3 linked regions of the Saccharomyces cerevisiae S288C genome follow. The gene in region 1 interacts genetically with each later gene. Each region holds a gene or a part of one and is shown in the gene's direction. Other genes may lie near its edges.

The links. A genetic interaction does not mean that the proteins touch.
Region 2: mutations in ISW2 (region 1) and STB5 together harm fitness more than expected from each alone (negative genetic interaction), as found in Saccharomyces cerevisiae (3 studies listed by BioGRID).
Region 3: mutations in ISW2 (region 1) and IES1 together harm fitness more than expected from each alone (negative genetic interaction), as found in Saccharomyces cerevisiae (3 studies listed by BioGRID).

Annotation. Positions count from the first base shown.
Region 1 is NC_001147.6:882,301-888,905, forward strand, and holds ISW2 (DNA translocase), read left to right. Parts: upstream 1-2,213; coding exon 2,214-5,576; downstream 5,577-6,605. Other genes in the region: YOR302W (uncharacterized protein), read left to right, coding at 465-542; carbamoyl-phosphate synthase (glutamine-hydrolyzing) CPA1, read left to right, coding at 599-1,834; BIL1 (Bil1p), read right to left, coding at 6,220-6,450. UniProt on the Saccharomyces cerevisiae protein: Catalytic component of the ISW2 complex, which acts in remodeling the chromatin by catalyzing an ATP-dependent alteration in the structure of nucleosomal DNA.
Region 2 is NC_001140.6:456,624-462,207, forward strand, and holds STB5 (Stb5p), read left to right. Parts: upstream 1-2,675; coding exon 2,676-4,907; downstream 4,908-5,584. Other genes in the region: ROF1 (Rof1p), read left to right, coding at 1-1,329. UniProt on the Saccharomyces cerevisiae protein: Binds to SIN3.
Region 3 is NC_001138.5:107,175-112,484, reverse strand, and holds IES1 (Ies1p), read left to right. Parts: upstream 1-2,554; coding exon 2,555-4,633; downstream 4,634-5,310. Other genes in the region: hexose transporter HXT10, read right to left, coding at 1-140; YFL012W (uncharacterized protein), read right to left, coding at 1,392-1,838; lipid-binding protein HSP12, read right to left, coding at 4,900-5,229. UniProt on the Saccharomyces cerevisiae protein: Probably involved in transcription regulation via its interaction with the INO80 complex, a chromatin-remodeling complex.

The DNA of each region.
Region 1 (6,605 bases):
CCTGTGCACCGCATATTTCCATAGCGCGTGACGCTAAGTACAAGAAACAGCGAGGGGCCGTTAAGTGCAGGCTTTACCGAGGGCGCCGGCTGGCGCTTCCCGTGGAAGGGTGTTTGACTCATCATCGCATCGCATTACCTCATGATGAGTAAATAGTTGCGATTTCACTTATCACCTCTCGCGGAAAAAAAAGGCGATGACATGATATATAAGGCTCTCTCGTAAGACACTTAACTATCCAACGTTCATTAGATTATTCGGTCAATTTCTTTTTTCATGCCCCTCCTTTTTCTTTTCTTTTCTTGACTCGTCGTTTCTTTTTCTTTTTTTTTTTTTTTTTTTTCTTCAGAACTATAACACATAGATACACTCGAACATCTAATTGTTTAAATACTGCAAAGAATACAAGGTAATCGACTCTTCTACATACCCTTTTTGCAGATTTGAAATAAAAAAAACATTATATGTTTAGCTTATCGAACTCTCAATACACCTGCCAAGACTACATATCTGACCACATCTGGAAAACTAGCTCCCACTAATTTCATTGCTTAATAATCAGAAATTCTATCACAAACCACTCCTAAAAATATTTCAAATGTCCTCCGCTGCAACAAAAGCTACTTTCTGTATCCAAAATGGTCCTTCCTTTGAAGGTATATCTTTTGGTGCAAACAAATCTGTTGCTGGTGAAACAGTTTTCACTACTTCTCTGGTTGGTTACCCAGAGTCCATGACTGATCCTTCCTACCGTGGTCAGATATTAGTCTTCACGCAACCCTTGATTGGTAACTACGGTGTCCCATCCGGCGAAGCCCGCGATGAATACAATTTACTGAAGTATTTTGAATCTCCGCATATACATGTGGTCGGCATCGTTGTCGCTGAATATGCTTATCAATATTCGCATTGGACCGCTGTTGAATCTCTGGCACAATGGTGTCAGAGAGAAGGTGTTGCTGCTATTACTGGCGTAGACACCCGTGAACTAGTGCAATACTTGAGGGAACAAGGTTCTTCTTTGGGCCGTATTACGTTGGCTGATCATGACCCTGTCCCCTACGTGAATCCCATGAAAACTAACTTGGTTGCTCAAGTCACCACAAAAAAGCCTTTCCACGTCTCTGCCTTACCTGGGAAGGCTAAGGCAAATGTGGCTCTTATTGACTGTGGTGTTAAAGAAAACATTATCAGATGCCTAGTCAAAAGAGGTGCCAATGTAACTGTTTTCCCCTATGATTACAGAATTCAAGATGTTGCTTCTGAATTCGACGGTATTTTCTTATCCAATGGACCAGGCAACCCAGAACTATGCCAAGCTACAATTTCCAACGTCAGGGAATTACTAAATAACCCTGTTTATGACTGTATCCCTATTTTTGGGATTTGTCTAGGCCATCAACTCTTGGCTCTGGCCTCCGGTGCCTCTACTCACAAATTGAAATATGGTAATAGGGCTCACAACATCCCTGCCATGGATTTGACTACCGGCCAGTGCCACATTACATCTCAAAATCATGGCTATGCAGTTGATCCTGAGACCCTACCAAAGGACCAATGGAAACCTTATTTTGTTAATTTAAACGACAAATCAAACGAAGGCATGATACACCTTCAAAGACCCATATTTTCTACCCAATTTCACCCAGAGGCAAAAGGTGGTCCCTTAGACACAGCTATTCTTTTTGACAAATTCTTCGATAATATAGAAAAATACCAATTACAATCTCAGGCAAAAAGTTCAATCTCACTAAAAGTAACATACAGTACCGATAAATCGAGATTGCAGAGTATAAATGTTACTAAGTTGGCCAAGGAAAGAGTGTTGTTCTAAAAACAAAATTTATACATTACGTAACACATACGTACATCTAAATACGATTCAATTCAGTTCATGGTATTTTGCGCTACTCGTCGTTGCTTAGTATCTACTCGCAGTTGTCATAATTAACGGGCGCTTCTTGTAATTAAATGAACAAAAAAACGTAACGTACGTACAATGGCTCTAATTTCATCCTGCCATCCTAAAAAAAAAATCAAATAAAGCAGACTCAAAAATTTTCAGCTTCAGTTAAATTTTGATAAGTATATTTGCATAACTCAAGGAGTTTGTGCAAACGGTTTTCTTTCTTTGTGGTTTGTTTTATTTACTTTCCAATAATACCCGTCTTGTTGGTTTAAGTCGTAACAAAAGGAAAACTTACAATCAGATCATGACGACCCAGCAAGAGGAGCAACGAAGTGATACCAAGAATAGCAAAAGCGAGTCACCTTCAGAAGTTTTAGTCGATACTCTCGACTCAAAGTCAAATGGCAGTAGTGATGATGATAATATCGGACAAAGTGAAGAGCTATCAGATAAAGAAATATATACAGTAGAAGATAGACCACCAGAATATTGGGCTCAAAGAAAGAAAAAATTCGTACTTGATGTAGATCCAAAATACGCCAAGCAAAAGGACAAGTCCGATACGTACAAAAGATTCAAATATTTATTAGGCGTCACAGACCTTTTCCGTCATTTTATTGGAATTAAGGCAAAACATGATAAAAATATTCAAAAACTCTTAAAACAGTTAGATTCTGATGCAAACAAACTTTCCAAATCACACAGCACCGTCAGTTCGTCATCACGTCACCATAGAAAAACAGAAAAGGAGGAAGATGCTGAATTAATGGCTGATGAGGAAGAAGAGATTGTAGATACATATCAGGAAGACATATTCGTCTCAGAATCTCCCTCCTTCGTCAAGTCAGGAAAATTAAGAGACTATCAAGTTCAAGGCTTAAACTGGTTAATATCGTTGCACGAAAACAAACTATCTGGTATCTTGGCCGATGAAATGGGGCTGGGTAAAACCTTACAAACAATTTCATTCCTAGGTTATTTGAGATACGTCAAACAAATCGAGGGACCCTTTCTAATAATAGTACCGAAGTCAACACTAGATAATTGGAGACGAGAGTTTCTTAAATGGACTCCAAACGTCAATGTCCTTGTGTTACATGGTGATAAAGACACAAGAGCTGATATAGTACGGAATATAATATTAGAAGCTAGATTTGATGTATTGATTACATCTTATGAAATGGTCATTAGAGAAAAGAATGCTTTGAAAAGATTAGCTTGGCAATATATTGTTATTGATGAGGCTCACAGGATCAAAAATGAACAAAGCGCGTTATCTCAAATAATTAGATTATTTTACTCTAAGAATAGATTATTGATTACGGGCACGCCTCTACAAAACAATCTACACGAATTATGGGCCCTGCTAAATTTCTTATTACCTGATATATTTGGAGATTCTGAACTTTTTGATGAATGGTTCGAACAAAACAATTCGGAACAAGATCAAGAAATTGTAATCCAACAGCTACACTCAGTACTAAACCCCTTTTTACTGAGAAGAGTCAAAGCGGATGTCGAAAAATCTTTGCTACCTAAAATCGAAACGAATGTTTACGTGGGGATGACAGACATGCAAATACAATGGTATAAATCATTATTAGAGAAGGATATAGACGCTGTTAACGGTGCTGTTGGAAAAAGAGAAGGCAAAACGAGGTTACTGAATATTGTTATGCAATTAAGGAAATGCTGTAATCATCCATATCTTTTTGAAGGCGCAGAACCTGGACCTCCATACACTACCGATGAACATTTGATTTTCAATTCCGGGAAAATGATTATATTAGATAAGTTACTGAAAAGACTGAAGGAAAAGGGATCTAGAGTATTGATTTTCAGTCAAATGTCGAGACTATTGGATATCTTAGAAGATTATTGCTATTTTAGAGATTTTGAATATTGCAGAATCGACGGTTCTACTAGCCATGAAGAACGTATAGAAGCTATCGATGAGTATAATAAACCTAATTCTGAAAAGTTCGTTTTTTTGCTAACAACACGTGCCGGTGGTTTAGGTATTAACCTTGTCACAGCCGACACTGTTATTCTTTTTGATTCTGATTGGAACCCTCAAGCTGATCTACAAGCAATGGATAGAGCGCATAGAATTGGTCAAAAGAAACAAGTTCATGTTTATAGATTTGTCACAGAAAATGCTATTGAAGAGAAAGTCATTGAGCGTGCCGCACAAAAGCTGAGACTAGACCAGTTGGTTATCCAACAGGGCACGGGCAAGAAAACTGCATCTCTTGGTAACTCAAAGGATGATCTGTTGGATATGATTCAATTTGGCGCTAAAAATATGTTTGAAAAGAAAGCAAGTAAAGTCACTGTTGATGCTGATATCGATGATATTTTGAAAAAGGGGGAACAGAAGACACAAGAACTAAATGCCAAATACCAAAGTTTAGGACTTGACGACTTACAAAAGTTCAATGGGATCGAGAACCAATCTGCTTACGAATGGAATGGTAAAAGCTTTCAAAAAAAATCCAACGACAAAGTAGTTGAATGGATTAATCCTTCCCGAAGAGAAAGAAGAAGAGAGCAAACCACTTATTCAGTTGACGATTATTATAAGGAAATTATTGGTGGTGGCTCTAAATCAGCAAGCAAGCAAACTCCGCAGCCAAAAGCACCCCGCGCTCCAAAGGTTATACACGGTCAAGATTTCCAGTTCTTCCCCAAGGAGTTGGATGCCTTACAAGAAAAGGAACAGCTTTACTTCAAGAAAAAGGTCAACTATAAGGTTACTTCTTATGATATTACGGGAGATATACGTAATGAAGGAAGCGATGCTGAAGAAGAAGAAGGAGAATACAAAAATGCCGCTAATACAGAAGGTCATAAAGGCCATGAGGAACTTAAAAGAAGGATTGAGGAGGAGCAAGAGAAGATTAATTCAGCACCGGATTTTACCCAAGAAGATGAATTACGAAAGCAAGAATTGATATCAAAAGCCTTTACTAACTGGAATAAGAGGGACTTTATGGCGTTTATCAACGCCTGCGCCAAATACGGTAGAGATGATATGGAAAACATTAAGAAATCTATTGATTCCAAAACACCAGAAGAGGTTGAAGTGTATGCAAAAATATTCTGGGAAAGACTAAAGGAAATCAATGGGTGGGAGAAGTATTTACATAATGTAGAACTTGGTGAAAAAAAAAATGAAAAACTGAAATTCCAGGAAACTCTATTGAGGCAGAAAATCGAACAGTGTAAACATCCATTACATGAGCTGATAATACAGTATCCACCTAATAATGCTAGAAGAACTTACAATACCTTAGAAGATAAATTTTTATTATTAGCTGTTAACAAGTACGGACTTCGTGCTGACAAGCTCTATGAAAAATTAAAGCAAGAAATCATGATGAGTGATTTGTTCACTTTTGATTGGTTTATAAAGACAAGAACGGTGCATGAGCTATCAAAAAGAGTCCATACGCTATTAACTTTAATTGTAAGAGAGTATGAGCAACCTGACGCAAATAAGAAGAAAAGGAGTAGAACTTCAGCGACTAGAGAGGATACTCCTTTATCCCAAAATGAAAGCACTAGAGCTTCAACGGTTCCAAATCTCCCGACGACGATGGTGACAAATCAAAAAGATACAAACGATCATGTTGATAAAAGAACCAAAATTGATCAAGAAGCATGAATCATGTATTGTGCATTAAAATAAGTGACGTGAGAGATATAATTTTTTATATTACTTTTTCATTGAATACAATTAAACTAACGAGCCTTATAGACCGCATTATATAATGAACCGTAGCCACTTCTTGACCACTATCTTCAAGTTTGATAATGATAAATGACAGGTAATCATATTTCAGTCACCTTTTTCCCTTCAATGAAATGTGATATCGCTGCAAAAATGGTGAATGAAGAGGACAAATTAAGTCTAACTGGGTCGAGCCGCTTTAACTAATTCATATCCATTCTAAGATAATTGAACTGCTGAAAACTAAAGCCTGCTTTGATACTTGTCATATTGTATTTATCTACAAACTTACATTAACAACAGTGTACTGAATTATAAGAGAGCAATTGCCAAAAAAGTCATTTAGTTAAAACTTCTCCATTTCAAGTTTCCAAGGATAGGTGAAGTGCTATCCCAGAGACTCCAAAAACATGCGAATATATTATTAAGTTTCAGTTGATTAATATTTCTAAACCATATAAAAAAGCACGTATTTGGCACGATCTGTAGTTAATTGCAACCTAGTTACGCGATAGCACGCGTTTTCTTTTTTATGAATAAAAGCATTAGAAGTTTCCATGTTACTACTCACCTGCTCTCACCGACTCATTTTGTTAAGCTTGTCTTCAATTGCTTGTATACTGCGTGAAAACTCATCATCATTTTCCTTCATTTGCCTCTGAACATCCTTTAGTGATTTTTCTATTTCATTTGCCAGGTCAAACACGGTTACAATATTTTCTGTATCTCCCTTTATTGAGTTAGTCTCAGATGTATTGGCCAAGGGAGCCTGTGGTTCCTCCGAAGCTTCCAGTTTTTCAGTACTCATTACAGTGCTCCTTCAGAAGATGCAAGTCACATTTACAATATCATTTAGCGCTAAGGTAAAATGTACCTGTAAGCCAAGCCGCTTCATTGGTTTGCTAGTTTTTTTTTTTTTTTTTTTTTTTTCAAATTATTTATCGAGGCCAACTGAAAAGCAAA
Region 2 (5,584 bases), on another chromosome or scaffold:
ATCGACGACGAGCAAGATCTAGCCCTTGTTTTCCAGGGCGTATTCAATGGAAATTTGAGATGCATCGAACGGAGGCCATATGATGCAGAAAAGGTTGAATTAGTCAACCCCGGAAACATTTTTGTTTTCAACGAAGAGAAATCCGGCATCAAAAGATGGACAGATGGTTTTTCTTGGTCTCCTTCAAGAATTTCAGGCAAATTTCTCGTATATAGAGAGTATAATAGGCTGGGTTCCACGCACGATCTACCGCTGCATAATGTACCTGAGTATAATATCTTCGAGAGGGCTCATAGGAAGTATTTTTATACTGGACTACTGAAAAAAACATTTTCTCTAAAATTCAATATGGATCCCACCGACAGCACTAAGCTGGAAACATTTCATCTTATTGCGTACTATACGGAAAAGGATATTCATCAAGGAAGTTTGAGGAGACCTTCAGAAAATCCTTTCTTCCATAAATTTCGACCTTCACAGAAACTATTAGATGCTTTACAAAAAGTTGCTGTAGGAAATGGCAGATCTAACCCGTCTAAAAATAATGAGAGAGGCAGAACCAAAGCTCATAATTATAAAACGCGCAGGTCTTTATCATCTTCTCCGAGCTATTGTGATCTCTTGAGCAATTATAACAACCATCCTGGAAATATTCCAGTTAGGACCGCAGTTCAGTTACCTTTAACCACCTTCAATAACGCTCCTCGAGAAATGCACCAACAGCAGCACCGACAACAGCAACAATATCTCTTACCCATAGATGAACAGAATAAATTACCTCTCCCGTATATGCAGCACCAGCCACAACCAATTGGTGTTTACAATCCTAACTATCAGCCTGGATTGAGACGTACGGTCTCACAACCTATGATTTTCTGCAATACATACAATACTCTCCCGCAACAACCTACTGCAGCACCTTATGAACGGCGTGGCGTGTCGCCTTCAGTGATATACTCCTCCAATACATTGAGCCCAATACCATACCAAAATATCGATCCATACTCTTCGAGGTCGGGTCCTGAATGCAATCACTCTAAGGCGCCTATCGCCCCAACAATGATGCCCCCAGTACACCATATACTTGTGCATGATTACCGACAACCAAAACCAGTCACAGATTCTATTAATCCTCCAAATGTAAACATAACCACCTCCACAACCAACAAGAACCTAGATGGCATTTATATTTTGCCAGCTCCTCGTATGAATCCCCCGGCTCAAACACAATACCAAATGATTCATGCGCCAGACAGCATGCAACATCCACCAACATTTAGTAAAAACAACACATCAAGCAATCCTAAATCCCACCAATACTCAAAGTAGAAGATCAGCATCCTTTCAATTGCTGAAAGGTTCACCTAAAGTACCGCTCATATTCCAAAAGGATTCTTCACTACATAGAAAGGGCAGCCAATTGTGTGTTTTTCAGAAAGGGTTTTAAAAAAACAGGAGGGTGCTTGTTCTTGTTGTTCCCTACCATCGATGGATTTCGAAAAACTATTTATAGGACCATCTGATTTTCACCTCCATCATTGTATCATATACTAACAAGCATATCCAAATTTGTAATTCTATCATGAAATTTCCAGAGAAAGAAACGCAAGGGAACTGAGAAATCAAACCTAAAAACGGTTCTTGGCATTGTTATGAAAAATGAATAAACCAGGGGGGCAAAACAATCGAGAACCCCAATCAAAACCATGTGAGATACCCACTTCGAAAGTTACTGATATTATAACTCTTGTGTCCTCTCTTCTAATACCTTACTTTCACCTTTCTCACGTAGTTAAAGTTGCAACAACACATTTTGTCCTCATCCAATTTCTTCTATAGAATATCCGTTTGCCTCCAGGAGTGAAGAAATGATAGCAGTAACACTGTGAAAGCGAGACTAAGAGAAACGACTTAAAGCTCGAAGACTTCTTGAGGATACGTTTATGTTTCTGTGGCTTCTTCTTCGCGGCGCGGTTCTCGCGTATAGGAATGTTCTAAGACAAGAAGGCATGAAGTTATGTTAACAGATTCTATATCTACTCGCTACGCATATATAAACGGATTCATCATTGAAACAATGGTACTTGTGGTAATGTGTACGACGATTTCAACCCGAATAAAAGCAAAAGTGCAAAAAAAAAACAAGAAGCGCTTAGCACTGTTGAATCATTTAGAACACTACTAATGCTGGTAATACACTCAAGAATGAAGAGTGGCTTACTCCATTGTTGATGCAAAAGTTGTAAATTTCACGAATTATTTAATGCGTTCCTTGCAACCTTCTATTTTGATGAACATCAGGAATTGAAACAAAAAAAAGGCTTCAATCTCAACGGAAAACGGGAAGAAAACTACACTCGATTATACTATATATGCCAAGAAGATTCTCCGACAGATTGTCTACTTAATTTCACATAATATATCTTGTTTTACTAGCTTATTATATAGCGTCGCATTTAATTCATGGCGCCATCACCCGCAGGGAATATAACGACAAGGCCGATACCACGGGAAAAATAGGGCGAGCGGAAATACTAAAAGAAAAATAAGCTTCCGAAATAAAACACCGACAATGAAGTTCTTGGCAAGGTTCGGTTATTTCCTCTACGTAACAAGAGGTATAATATCCGAGCGTACAGGGCTAAAAAATTAATACAAAGGTGTAAAAGAAGGACATGGATGGTCCCAATTTTGCACATCAAGGCGGGAGATCACAACGTACTACTGAATTGTATTCGTGCGCACGATGCAGAAAATTAAAGAAGAAGTGTGGTAAACAAATACCGACATGTGCAAACTGCGATAAAAATGGGGCACACTGTTCATATCCAGGTAGAGCCCCAAGACGTACCAAGAAGGAGTTAGCGGATGCTATGCTACGAGGGGAATATGTTCCAGTGAAAAGGAACAAGAAGGTAGGAAAAAGCCCATTGAGCACTAAGAGCATGCCAAACTCTTCTAGTCCGCTATCCGCAAATGGCGCTATAACTCCCGGGTTTTCGCCTTACGAAAACGATGATGCACATAAGATGAAACAGCTAAAACCGTCAGATCCAATAAATCTTGTCATGGGGGCAAGTCCAAATTCTAGCGAAGGTGTCTCATCGCTAATTTCGGTGCTAACATCGCTGAATGATAATTCTAATCCTTCTTCGCACTTATCCTCTAATGAAAATTCCATGATTCCTTCCCGATCATTGCCAGCTTCCGTGCAGCAAAGTTCGACAACTTCATCATTCGGAGGATATAACACGCCTTCACCACTAATTAGCAGTCATGTGCCTGCGAACGCCCAAGCCGTACCGCTACAAAACAACAATCGCAATACTAGCAACGGGGATAACGGCAGTAATGTTAACCACGATAATAACAATGGCAGTACCAACACACCGCAATTGAGTCTTACCCCATATGCAAACAATTCAGCCCCCAATGGGAAATTCGATTCTGTGCCGGTTGATGCATCCTCGATCGAATTTGAAACTATGTCCTGTTGCTTTAAAGGTGGTAGAACAACATCGTGGGTCAGAGAGGATGGCTCGTTCAAGTCAATTGATAGATCCTTACTGGACAGGTTCATTGCCGCATACTTCAAACACAATCACCGTCTATTTCCCATGATTGATAAAATAGCATTCCTAAATGACGCCGCGACAATTACTGATTTCGAAAGGTTATATGACAACAAAAACTACCCTGACAGCTTTGTTTTCAAAGTATACATGATCATGGCTATTGGTTGTACAACTTTACAGCGTGCTGGTATGGTTTCTCAGGACGAAGAGTGTCTGAGTGAACATTTGGCTTTTTTGGCCATGAAAAAATTTCGTAGTGTTATAATTTTACAAGATATCGAAACTGTACGATGCCTATTGTTGTTGGGTATTTATTCGTTTTTTGAGCCAAAGGGCTCCTCGTCATGGACAATTAGTGGTATCATCATGCGATTGACCATAGGATTAGGTTTAAATAGAGAGTTAACTGCCAAAAAACTCAAGAGCATGTCTGCTTTAGAAGCAGAGGCAAGATATAGAGTGTTTTGGAGTGCTTACTGCTTTGAAAGGCTAGTATGCACCTCGTTGGGCCGTATATCCGGGATCGACGACGAAGACATCACTGTGCCACTACCGAGGGCGTTGTATGTGGATGAAAGAGACGATTTAGAGATGACCAAGTTGATGATATCATTAAGGAAAATGGGCGGTCGCATTTATAAACAAGTCCACTCTGTAAGTGCAGGGCGACAAAAGTTAACCATCGAACAAAAGCAGGAAATCATAAGTGGATTACGCAAGGAGCTAGACGAAATTTATTCTCGAGAATCAGAAAGAAGGAAACTGAAAAAATCTCAAATGGATCAGGTGGAGAGGGAGAACAATTCTACTACAAATGTAATATCCTTCCATAGTTCTGAGATTTGGCTAGCAATGAGATACTCCCAGTTGCAAATCTTACTATACAGACCATCTGCATTGATGCCAAAACCGCCCATTGACTCACTATCCACTCTAGGAGAGTTTTGCTTGCAAGCCTGGAAACATACTTATACACTGTACAAGAAGCGGTTATTACCCTTGAACTGGATAACCCTTTTCAGAACATTAACCATTTGTAACACTATCTTATACTGTCTTTGCCAGTGGAGCATCGACCTCATTGAAAGTAAAATCGAAATTCAACAGTGTGTGGAAATACTAAGACATTTCGGTGAAAGATGGATTTTTGCTATGAGATGCGCGGATGTTTTCCAAAACATTAGCAACACAATTCTCGATATTAGTTTAAGCCATGGTAAAGTTCCTAATATGGACCAATTAACAAGAGAGTTATTTGGCGCCAGCGATTCATATCAAGACATATTAGACGAAAACAATGTTGACGTCTCTTGGGTTGATAAACTTGTATGACATATGTTCACCGAGTTTTGTCATGTCGTCATACTATACGGCAGCGGCTTGTTGCTGCCGTTTAATGAAACAGTTTTTTTCACGACAAGATTCTTCTATTGATTATTCACATATGTATTTTAATGAAAAATGAGTACTTTATAACACAACCCTAATGACAAATGAAAAAGTTGATTGCCATGAACTCTTAAAGCGATTTATGAGAACAATTAATTGATTATATATATATATCTTTGCAATTATGTCGTTTGTTGCAAGATGCTTCTGAAAGTAAGTAACTCTATAAGATAGATAATGCTACAAGACGCCAAACGCAAGTGAGTAAGAAATAAGAGCTGGCAGGTCTTCGCCGGAACACTATCATCAAAATCACTACAATTTAGCGGCTTAGCACAATACGCGTTTTCAACTTCCTACGCTAGCGATGACAAAATGTCTCCAAGAGGCGGAACTTGCGACGGATGCATGGAAATATCTTACGTAATGAACTTCCGTAATGAACTTCCGTAATTCAAGATCTCTTAGCATCTCTTGTTCAATCTTCAGACTCTACTAAGTGTTCTTACCAACCATTGGATGCTCATTACAAATGAATGAATATATTGCACGGAACGGAAGCGGCATGCTTTTTCCGTCTCGTGTGCTTAGTAAAGCAAAACGGAGTAGAATCGGTAAGA
Region 3 (5,310 bases), on another chromosome or scaffold:
CAGTATGCAATAATGGGTTTGTATGGAATGTCCAAGCTAGCTTCCCTTGTTTCAGGGGTTAGTTTAATTTCATCCTTTCTACTTAGAGAAGTGGATGCCTTGGCGCTAGTCCCCAAAATGGAAACACTTGAACTAACCATCCTCGCTGTTATTTTTTTGTTATATCGATCAACTATATTATTATTAATTATTTATTGTATTTTTATTACGAGAAAGAAATAGTTTTAGATAGATAAACCGTCATTGAGGCGCAGAGCGTACCAACACATTTCTTGTGTCCTTATATAACAATTCCTTCTGATTGGAAAACATGTAGGAACAAACATAAAGAGAATAATTTCACTGGTATAATTCATTTCTGTGTAATAACCCTAACCCAACGGCTACGCCATATCTTTCATAATCAGTCAACTGAGTGTACCCCACATCCGAAACAAAGTATATAACCTTAAAAGTGTCGAAAATAGGTGTCAAATATCGATGAGCACACAAAACCTAGTAGCGGAATTACGACGTCCGTCATTTTCTTAGCGTCGACAAATTTTGATTATACAAAAACAATTCTGAATACTTTGTTAAAAAATACATCCGCTCGATTCAGGGGAGTACAAAAAATAAAAGAAGGCAACTGACAACCCTTGTCAGTCGATAATACAGCGATTAGACTTCTTTCCTTCCTTTTCTACTATAGCTAGCTATAAAGAGCTTGTTTAACAACATATTCAACGCGTTCCGGAGCCGATGAGATGAGGATTGATGACAGTATATGATTTGATAGCGTCACAATAACAGCATCATCACTATAAAGAAACAAAACGAAAAAGGAAACTTAGAGCATTATAGAAAATTAGCTAGTTAATGAAAAATTAAAAATTGAGATTGGTCCTATCATGGCAAGCAAGCTTCCTCTCGTAGTCGCCATCCAGACAGCCGAAATTGATGATACAACGACTGTTTATTTGCGTATGGGATTTCGTGTATACTTCAATGAAAGAAAAAAAAAAAAATATAATAAAACTAATGGTTTTGCAATTTGAAGGGTAAGTTTTTACTGCATATGGCCAAAAAAACTTTTGACTTTTTCATATGTCTATCAAATTATCCATAAGACCATTGCTCATCGAAAGAGATTTCATTTCTTCTCGAAGGCCATTTTTTAATACTCCTTGCAGAATTTTTCCTAATCGTGCATAATCAGTTTTCGTACTTCTCCTCAATGATAACATATTCTTGGAAAGCTGCTTAATGGCGTTTACCAACAATAAATTTATAGACATATACCAAAATCTTCTTTTAGTCCACATATGAACATATTGAAGATATTCTATTGAACAACTTAAAATACTATAAACGCATTCATCTTCTTTTTCTTACTGAGAAATTTTATATTCCTAAAAATTTTGAAATGATCTGAGTTTATTTAGATCTCTTGAACATCCTACAAGAACATTTGAAGGGCAATAATCCTCATCAATACTACTCAATTGTTTTCCATGGGAAAGGATTTCGATCTCTTCCTTTAATATATGTCTTCTAAACCACTTACGTATCCTATCTGTGCTAGAAAGTTTTGTTTTATTCTTCGTATGATCTTCCAATATAAAGTTAGTGTTATTTTCCCACTTCTTGAGGTTACAAACTGGTTCTTTCACTTTCAGCTCCGGATTATTCTGCTTTCTCGTTTCATCCGTTGTTGCGGTAGGTGAATGATTTATTTCAATGACAATGTGTGATACGAGTTCCATTACTTTGATGTAGCCATCATTTTGGAAAGGTGAACTTCCATAAAAAACTGACGAGGAAGACGCAATGGTCCTTTTTGGTCGGGATTTGGGCATCTTTCTATAAGTAGCTAAATTATGGTATTTGATAGCTATATTTGCGACTTATTAGTATTTTGACATTCCATAAAATGCAAAAATTATTTACTATCCTTTTAAATTCAGTTATTATACACGTACATATTTTTTTAAACTGATGCGACAGTTTATCGAGTTTTGTGTCAGAGGACGTGAAAAAATTGCTCTAGTTGAGACCAACATGATTCAGGATGAAAAATTATCCAACGTTCGATTTTCTGGTCTACATGTCATTTGAATAAATTATTTAGCAGACGTTGGATAGAAAGGATTGAAAGATTACATAATGTTATTTCAAAAAAGAGAGAATTGAAATATGCTGGCTGACCTTTACCGAAAACAAGAAGATGAACAGAAGGAAAACCTGAGAGTCGATTGATGTCTCAAAAGACCACTACTGTTATGACACAAAACAATTTAACGACTCTTGATGTAAAGGAACTAAAGCAACACTTTTCTTAACCAAGCCAGTATATATTTTGCAGTATCAGAAATAATCAGACTTTTTTTTTTCTTAGCCCATATTAAGACAATTCTGTAGCATATCGTGTACAACGAAAAACAGGTTACCCTCGAATGCGGTAACGGTACAAGTAAGTAAAGAACGCCCAATGAATGCTGATATGGTATTGGAAACAGTTCATGATTAACTAAGTAAAATCGAAAGCTAAATAAAGGCGACACTCTAATTAAAGATGGGGAAGAGAGTATACGATCCAATTCATGATACTTTCCAACTACGAGAAGACAATTCTGACGAAACAAAAGCAGATTCTCCAATGCAATCTGTAAAATCGGGATCACAAGAAGAAGCATCCCCAAGCTCCATTCAATCAGAGACCGAGACTGTGACTACAAAAAGCATTCCAGTTATACACGAGATTGAAATCGACGATAAAAATGATGATGACTCCACGCAAAGTGAAGAAGAAAATACCAACATCTTGCTCAACTTCGAACCTTCTACAGTGCCTGAAGCAACAGGAGCAAGTACGGCAACGGGGCCAGTGACAACTAACACTGTTAGAAGGAAACCCAAAGAAAGCAATGCCAGTAAATACAATCGTCATTTGAAGAAACCTGACGGCGAGCCATTCAATAGAAAGGACATTCAGTTCAGTTTCATGCAAGAACTGTTGATGGACAAGAGGCAAATCTTCACTAATGTTCTAAAACCCCTATACAAGAACTCTATTGTACCCATTAATATCGATGGCGATAAATTATCAATCAACGTGACCGACAAAGAGTACGATGCAAGGACATTTGTATTTAACGATAAATTGACGTTCGCACAATTGTATGTGTTGACAATAGCCACTTCTATCAAATGTTCCAAAATTCTCAGAGATAAACTATTATTAGACCAACAAGTAGCATTTTCTACTTGTGTTTTAGCGTTATTGGTCAACATTGGTAGGTTGAACACCACTATAAATTTTTATTTAGAAATGACATCGCAATTGAGAACTTTTCACTCCGTGCCAGTTTTACAATTACATGCCAATGATCCGAAACTTTTGCAGGATACACCTAGACTGAAATCTATTCTGAAAAATCTGCCGTGGGGCAATGAGCAACTCTCATTGATGGAGACTTACAAAAAGGTCGACCAAAATGATGGTGAAGTGGACACCGTTAACAAATTTAACATTATTAATATGTTGTTTAGCATATGTGATAATTCCGGCCTAATTGACAAGAGGTTTCTTTCCAAGTATGTGGAAGTCGAATCGAAAGCTCAGGAGCAAGATATGGTAGATGAACAGAATGAAGTAAAAGAAACGGAAGCGGAAAATGAAAAACAAGAATCAAAAGCAGCTTATGCAACAACATTATTTGATATACTGGACTATTCGAAATACGAGCCAAAGGATAGATCAAACATATTGATTTGGCTGCTATATATTCATTTGGAGACAAACTTAAGCCAGGAGGAGGTCGAAGAATCAGTAAGATTTTTCAATGGATTGGAAGATGGTGCACCTGCTGGAAAGTTCATTTTAAGGTGTACGGAACGCAGTTACGACACGGATCCTGAAGATGAATTAGAGTTCGGAGCCAACCAACGCATCAAGAGAAGAGAATTCATGAGTAAGATGGAGGAGGGTAGGAAGCGCGAGCGTACCAATGTTACAGAGGTGAAAAAGCCCAGTATCGGTGGTGACAAGAGTGAAGAGGACGGTGAAGGGGAAGATGACAAGAGCGAGGAGACTGTAGAGGAGACTAGATCACTTTTGACGCCTACGCCCATACTGGAATCTTCTTCACCCATGACATTGAACAGGAAAAAAGTCACACCACAACTGCCCAAAGTAACGCCAGCAGCACCAACAGAAACAGAAGAAGAAATCACCTCCGCTGCTATCATTGACAAAAACGATTTAAATCTAACACCATTGAAAAAATACAATAGTTCGGCTACGGTAAACAAGGTCGACAAGCTAATATCGCTAGATCTGAACAAGCATGTGTCAGAAAATGGTAAGACACAAGAGGAGTTTCTCGCCGATTTGAAAAAATCCCAGGTGCCAAACAGGTTGAAAAGACGCGATATTGGGTTAATCAAGATATTCAATGAATTTGAAGACATCCCCGTAGCGTCAGTGCTTGGGATTCGCGGTAAAAAGAGAAAGAAATTCAAAGATAATTTGCTTGGATTTGAGACGGATTTCATGAAAAATCTCGGCGCTTCAAAGAAAGTACTTTTAAATAAAATCGAACGCGCGGAAATTGATGACGAAGAAGCAACCGCCATGTTTAAGCTGGAGTGAAATAGAACAATACGCACACACACACACACACACATACATACATTTAAGAACATTTTGTAAAGAAAGAGAATTTTTTTTTTTAAAAAAACAGCTAATTTTTAAACTGAACTAGAGTATATGCGTACTTAAGTTTATATATTCCACCTCGATTTAAGCGTTTTTTTTTTAGAATTTTTTTATTACTCTGCTATTCATTGAATATAATATTAAGGAACATCACACATCATAAAGAAAAAACCATGTAACTACAAAGAGTTCCGAAAGATTTACTTCTTGGTTGGGTCTTCTTCACCGTGGACACGACCGGAAACATATTCGACGGCATCGTTCAACTTGGACTTGGCGGCTCCCATGTAATCTCTAGCTTGGTCTGCCAAAGATTCACCTTGACCTTCAGCGTTATCCTTGCCTTTTTCGGCAGAGTCGTGGACACCTTGGAAGACACCCTTGTTGTCTTCTGGTTGAACCTTACCAGCGACCTTGTCGGCCTTGTCAGTGATGTATTCCTTACCTTGTTCAGCGTATGACTTTTGAGAGTCTGGCTTCAAAGCTTCAGAAGCTTTTTCACCGAATCCTTTTCTACCTGCGTCAGACATTGTTGTATTTAGTTTTTTTTGTTTTGAGTTGTTTGTTTGAGATTATCGAATAATCAGATGGTTTTTTTTTCTATATATTAG